Arabidopsis thaliana: one gene and its partner. The protein of the gene in region 1 interacts with the protein of each later gene in a pairwise test. Each region holds a gene or a part of one and is shown on either strand. Other genes may lie near its edges.

Region 1 (3,751 bases):
AGAGCGTCTGTGACGGCGGAGGATGAAGAAGCTTCACGACCGTCACCACATAGGCTGAACAAAATTTCAGCAGCTCGAGAAGGCGTGGCGCAGTGACGTAGGATGAGACCTTGAGGGAGAGCCACGAGGTTTGGACCGGAGCCGCATCGGCCGAGGCAAGCGCAGTGAGTGACTCGGAGTTCGGGAGGTGCGAGAGCTGTTAAAGTCTCGAGAATCTGGAAGGAGCCTTGTCTTCGGCAGGTGCGATTCGTACAAACGCGAATCTCCTTCACTTGTTCACCTGAGCTCCGGCAGCTCATCGCCGGCAAAGCGACGGAAGACATAACGATAAGAATATCGAACCACAAGAAGAAGAAAGATGCGCGCCTGACTAAATAAACCGAGATAATCAAATTAAAATGTATTAAATCCGGTTTGACTAAACCGGATATCACAATTGTACACTCTAATCAGCTCCCATTTTGCTTCGTTTCACACTCAAAGCCGAAGATAAAACATCACTAGACTAATTCTTAATCAAATTAGACAGCTCATAACTAAAATTTTGACTCAGAACCTTCCCATTATACTAAAGAATCCAAATATACCATTAGTAAGTACAAAGCCAAGATACAACAATTTTGCAATGTAAGCTTAAGAATATAAAACTAACGGTGGCTACGTTTCATTTATCTTCCTAAAGAACTTGTAGACTGGTGATTTCTCTTTACTTGCAACAACATCCTTGAAGATTACAAACAATATTAACAAGTCAGGAGCAACCATATACAACATTACTAAACAAGTCTTAAGCCTCCTCATTGGACATATACAAAAACTGGCAAGGACATGATCGTTAAGAGTTTCTCCAAATCATTATTGTGGATCGGCATCATCGTTTTGGTTTAAGAAGCGGAAACCCATGATGTATCTGTACTCTCCGGTGCCAAGACAGCGAGAACAGTCACTTAATCCACTCCCTCCACAACTCTTGCACCTGTGACCAAAACAACCAAAAAAAATTTTGAACTCCTTTAGTTCTTGAATCAAATAACAGATATAAAAGCCTCAAGAATACCATTTAGGCCATTCTCCTCTTGGAAGCATTTCCACATCCACACAATTAGTCCTCCCTTCAATCATATATCACAAAAAAGCAAGAATTCAATTCTCTGAAGTAGTTAATACGAAGAAATCAATCATAAGAGACATTTAAAGTTGAGAACCAGAGAGAGAAGTTATTTATCTTTACCTTTCCCACAACAATTGAAACAATCGACTCTTCCACTTCCATGGCAGATTACGCATCGTCCTTTCGCCTTCGACTTCATACACGTCTTAGCTCCAGACTGTTAACCATTGAATTCATTCTTATTAATGATATCAAGAGTCTAGAGATAGAAATTGGGGGTTTTTGGTTTCAGACCTGAGTTCTGACTATCCATGAAGGTTTGGTGAGATAGAGCCTAGTTTTTCCCTGCGTAGATTTTGAATTCGGAACGCCTTCCCCTGGCCGGACAGCCATCATCTCCGGCGGAGATAGACACGCGTTCACCGCCATCTCCGTCACTCTTCAGTCGTAACTCGTAACACACCACAACTGTTCTGTTCCTCTTCCTCATTCCAGTTTGTGTTCTCTCTCGGGCCTAAGGCCCATCTCTCAATAAACCCGTAAGAAAATTAACCAAACCGGACCGAGTTAGTGTGTTTAGGTCTGATTTAATTTTATTCGTTTCCTATGTAAAGTGTAAACCAAATAAAACACAAACTCAAAAGTGATTATTGAAATCATTACGGTTGTTATGGAGTATGGTGGACCAATCAATTGATGTTACTTGTCCAGCAATTAAAAATAATCACATTGGTGACTTGTATTTGCTTTCTCTTTTGTCAAATACTCAAAGATGTCTCTCTTCCATTGAATTAAAAATGATTTTGTTACAAGCAACCAAAATTGGATTATGAATGAATAAAGAATTAGAAAACAGAACCAACTTTGAGTTCATCATCCCATCTTTGCCAACCTTTTGACTAAAATTAAAGCCCACATGATGATTCTTGTTTTTCCAAAACCTCCATCTTCTTCGTCTTCATAGAGTCTTTTCTCTTCCTGTTTCACATTAGAGATTTAGAATCAAAACCTCAAAACTAACAGAAGATAAAAAAAAGAAAAGCCTGAATCATGGCCTTACAGTCGAAAGTAGCCCAGCTCGACGGTGGTGCTATGGTGGTTCTTCTATTCTGGTTTACTTCACTGGAGAAATTCTCATTCTTTTGATTTGGTTTCTTGAATTCTGGTAGAGGTACAACATATACATTCTCCTTCATATCTACCGAACCCTGCATTGCACAACAGTTTATGGAAATGATTCAAAATCCTTCTACAAAAGCTTTGTTAATTCTTGCCACAGGACAAACAAGGAAACTGAATGAATTTCCAATCTAGTGATCATACCAGAACCCAAAAAGATATAGATTTGTTGTCATACCGCACGAGTTCTCGTTTCTGGAGGTGTTACTTGAAGAACATGATGAAGAAGGATCTCTTCGTCAAGTGAAAGAGTTCTAGCTTTCTTTGGAGTTTCAGGTTTATATCCACTCTCTACCAAGTGACTAACTTTGCAGCTTAGCTGGCTAACTATAGGAGCCGGTTGAATCGCTCCCGGTGAAACCCATCTCTTCTCACTGTATCTAAAACACACACGAACAGAAGAAAAAAAGATTCAAGCTAAAGTTGTGTTGTAGCAGATGAGGAAGCAAAAGCGAACATAGAAAAGAATCAATACTTGGCTCTTATAAACGTGTCGCTTGAACTTCTCTCGAAATGTTGAGGCAATTCTGATTCCCAATACTCATTTCCCTTAGCATTACCGGTAGCTAGACCGAGAATAAGATGATCAAGCTATGGGATTGATACAAAATTCAACTACTGAATGTGTTCATTATATACAAAAGAGGAGCTTACATTTCATGAAAGCAACCTGATCTGGAAGCCATGTATCCAGAGTTATAGACCTTACCTGTGTCCAAAATTCATCAGTATCCCTAATTTGTATGATCCATTTACAACACAATCAATTAAAAGAGAGATTATTTAGGGACCTGAGAGATGTGGACGCCAAGGCTACGATGGATTCCAGAACATTGCATACAAATGAATATCCCAAGGTTCACACTTGCCCATCTTGGTGCCCTGTAAAATAGATAGATCCAAACAACACAATGCTCCTAAATCGTTTTTCTTACATGATCATGAAAGAGATAATGTTATCAAGATGCTTACTTTGATCTACAATCTGCACATTCTCGATTGTCTGGATGCTTCAAAAGTGCTTCCAATATCTATAACCCACACAAAATCTCTAACCTTTCAACTTTCCAGACGCAAAACCAATGGTGAAAAATCGAAAAGGAGGAGAAAAAAAGATGGGACCTTTGAATGCTTGGCGTTGAGCTCCTTGGAAACAGAGGCCTTCCTGTTCATTCTGATGAAGATGAATCAGAGAATGAGAGAGAAACAGAGGCAATTGAAAAATCAAACCAAGTTTGTAAACAGAGAGCCAAAATGGTTTCAAGGAAGAACGGATTTGAAGGAGAGGAGAGAAAAGAAATGACGGTTTCTCGTACCCTTTTATATCTGTCACTGCGACACATCATCTCTCTATTTTTAATCCAACATGGAGTCAAAGCAAAGCAATAAATTCAAATCCCTAGCTCTCGAAAACCCGACTTGATCACTATGCTCATACGAAGATTCCTTCGATAACCCAAT
Region 2 (3,433 bases), about 12 Mb from region 1:
AAGCGACCTAAGAGATTAAAGTAGATGAAATAAGCATGTTAATGCAATAATTATACCCATCATCTCCATGCATATGTCTTTACGTGTGTTTGATTATTTGTTTTCAGAATAATCATCAATTTTCATTGAACGAACGTTTTCAAAGATGATTACAACAAATCAAATGAATCACATATGGGTCAGCCAATTATATTCAAATCATGCAATCCGTCCATTCTCTTTTTTATTTTCCACGTTCCTCGATTGTGAATGTCACTCCATCTCTTGTTACTTTAACATCAAGCATTTAACTAACTAATCACTGTAATTACTAATTAGGTTTTGTTCTGTTGGTTAATAAATGTCATAGTTAGATTTTAATACTCCATATAGTATATAATAGCTGATCGTTGAGGAATTGACATAGCTAATGTTGACAACGTAACTAATGAATTTTATCCCTAATTCCCAAGTAATTCACTAAATGGTATTCATGATTTTTTTTTTTTTTTTTTTTGGTTGGCAAAGAAGAGGAAGTAAAGTAGCTGGAAACATAAATCATCTCTTATCTGAGCATATTGTTTTCCTTCGATTTCAAGAAAATAAAAAGGAAGGACTATATAATATTACCAAACTCGAAAATGAAAACAAATTAAATTTAACTACAAAATAAAATTTAAATTAAACCAACATTCTCTTTCTCTTCAAATATCCATTTATAATAACAATAATTAAGAGAAACAAATAAATACTTATGTTATGGCCTAAACCTTTGTCTGCAAGAGTGGCAAGTGATCTCCAAGCAAGCCGTATCGATCTTCGTCATTGATCTCTCCTTCAATCTCTCAGCTCTCTCCACTTCTTCCCTTGCCTTCTGCCACATCACCCTGGTTACAATTCAAAACCGTTAACCAAACCAAAACCAGAATTATTACTTGATCGAGCTAGCTTTAACTACCTTGCACGAGCAAACTCAGACTGAGCCATCTCCATCTCACGGCGAGTCAACTCTCTAACCCTCTCGGCGTAAGCCTTCTCTATAGCCGCAAGCCTTATCTGCTCCGCGGCTTGCCACTTCAACGCCTCCACACCACCGTTTGGAAGCTCCTCCGCTGTTGAGATCGAGCTGAGGCTGATGGAGAGTTTGAGGTCAAGATCGTGGTGGATCATGGAGGAGGAACGGTGGTGATTGTTGTGATGGTCGGTTGTTATAACTGTTGGTCGGTGTTTCCTTACCGGAGATTCGGTAGACGGTGGAGAAGGTAAAAGCTGAAGCTCTTTGTGATGATCTTGTTGTTCAGCCATTTTTGTATTCTTGTTTGTTTTTTTTGGCTAAAAGGCTGCACTTCTCAATAAGTGTGGGGATGGCAATTACCAATCACTTTATATGTAAGCTGCTTCGTGTCTGTGCACATATACTATCTACTTGAAATTACACTTATAACCCCTTATTCGAATATGCATATCTTTTTGGGTTATTTGATCATTGGGTTTTTATATAATCCTCAAAGTTAACAAACGACCACCGTACCGCCATTATGTGAATTTGTTGTCAAGTGTGGTTCCATGATAAGACGAAATGATGTGATTGTACAACAATCAACTAAAGTTAAAAATAGGTTAGATATATAAGATTTTTTAAGTTTTGTCGAGTTACAAAATAAATAGTCACCAATAACCAAATTTTTAGAATGTTTTATAATGATGAACATGTTATTTGCGTTTATGTCGAAATAATATAAACATGTAAACGCAAACGTGATTAATGTTGTTTTTTACGTTAAAGCTACTATATATTATGACATAACTTGCAATTGCAAAATTTCATTGTTTTTTTTTTTTCCAAAACATAAGAGGAGCATACTTGTAAAGTGAAAATAATGGAGGGTAGGTTAGTAAAACGAAGATAGAAATAGGAAGAAAAAAAATAGTTAAGGTGTAGAGAAAATCTCCGTTGAAGAAAAGACAGAGAAGATGGGATATAAACGGATCACGTTATTGAAGCATGAGAGGCTTTTTAAAGAAACCCTTTTCACTTTTTCATCATCTATCTCATTTTATATGTTTTTGTAACTAATAACTTTGCGATTGTATATTTGTTAATTAACGTATCCTTTTAAAAAAATGAAAATGTGGATGTGGGTTGTGTAATAATTGGTGATGCACGTGGCTTAATGGATTCAAAAGCTAGCAACTAGCTCACTTACTATGTGCTTAGTCCGTATATATTAGTAATTTAATCAAATTCTTCTCATATAACAGTTTATATTTTATTTATATATGTGATTTAAATAGTTGAAAGATTATAACAGATTTATAGGATTGAGAATTCGGAAACTAGGGTTTGAGTCTTTCCGCTGCAATCTCAATTACATTAATTAGTATAGACGCTCTAAATGACAAAAAAAAACAAAATTCCACAGGTTTAATAGCTAATCTGAATTGTGTTGTGATCTACGATTGCCTGGTCGTTATGTTTTAAATACATTTTGTTATTTATAGATAAAAATGTACGTAATGCTTTCAATGTTTTTTTTTTAAAGTTATTAACTTGTTTCATGTGTTTCATAGTTTCATGTACGTTTCCAATTATTTGTTATTTTTCAAACTTTGTTCGTTTCCACTTTATGTTTTCTTAATCTATCCAGTTCATATTACATTACATTAGACAAAAGAAAACTAAATAGCGAAATAAAACTAAAACTTATATAGGTATACACAACCGTGCCTACCAATAAAAAAGTCAGAGACGGTATCTTAAAAGCGCAAAATAAGAATATAGAACTATAGTTATAAAAAAAAATTTTGAAAGGTAATGTCAATTTTTTCACAAGATCATTAACCAAAATTTCAAAATCAATCTTTTATAACCTTTTTGTGAATTGAAAAGATTGTCAAAACATCAACGATACAAAAAAGTTTAAATCCATAGTTAATAGAAATATAGAAGAGATGGTTGAGATATCAAATCTGGACCGGTATAGTTTTTTTTATCCAAAAAATATATTGGTAGCACTCAATACTAAAAAAAATAAAAAAAAATAACAAATAATAAAATAAATGATTCAATAACACATAATTTTTGAAAAAAATGAAATTAACCAAAATCTGTTAATTGCCATAATTTTCTGCTGAGAAGAGAAAGCACAATCAGTAAACCAATCTAGTTATTAACCGAAACCTAAACCAACAATCATATGAACCGAATGATAGACCTGCCTTAACCGGAATGGCGGGGATTTTCACTCTCTTATAGTTTCCCGCTACATTTAATAGTGAAGAGAGAAGAGCAAAGATTTTTCTGGATAAATCTGTTTTATCGATTTTGAAGCTCCCCATGAACTCTCGAGATCTTACACTCGTCTCTACATCTGCAATCTTCGGTGCTTTGATTTCAGCTCTAGCATTTCGCTTCTTCTCATCAAACCCTAAAAACCCCAAATCCCGAAAATTC

Evidence for each region.
Region 2: the proteins of ENA (region 1) and AT3G48550 interact in a two-hybrid assay, tested with the Arabidopsis thaliana proteins (one large-scale study listed by BioGRID).

What each region holds. Positions count from the first base shown.
Region 1 is NC_003074.8:6,037,429-6,041,179, reverse strand, and holds ENA (DnaJ/Hsp40 cysteine-rich domain superfamily protein), read right to left. Parts: upstream 1,773-3,751; 5' UTR 1,541-1,772; coding exon 1,406-1,540; intron 1,329-1,405; coding exon 1,232-1,328; intron 1,113-1,231; coding exon 1,058-1,112; coding exon of another isoform or gene 1,048-1,057; exon of another isoform or gene 977-1,047; coding exon 856-976; 3' UTR 547-855; downstream 1-546. Other genes in the region: AT3G17670 (tetratricopeptide repeat (TPR)-containing protein), read right to left, coding at 1-323; AGD15 (ARF-GAP domain 15), read right to left, coding at 2,128-2,319, 2,469-2,670, 2,766-2,856, 2,945-2,999, 3,082-3,172, 3,263-3,321, 3,413-3,463.
Region 2 is NC_003074.8:17,991,899-17,995,331, reverse strand, and holds AT3G48550 (SHOOT GRAVITROPISM-like protein), read right to left. Parts: upstream 1,514-3,433; 5' UTR 1,285-1,513; coding exon 938-1,284; intron 867-937; coding exon 737-866; 3' UTR 553-736; downstream 1-552. Other genes in the region: AT3G48540 (Cytidine/deoxycytidylate deaminase family protein), read left to right, coding at 3,317-3,433.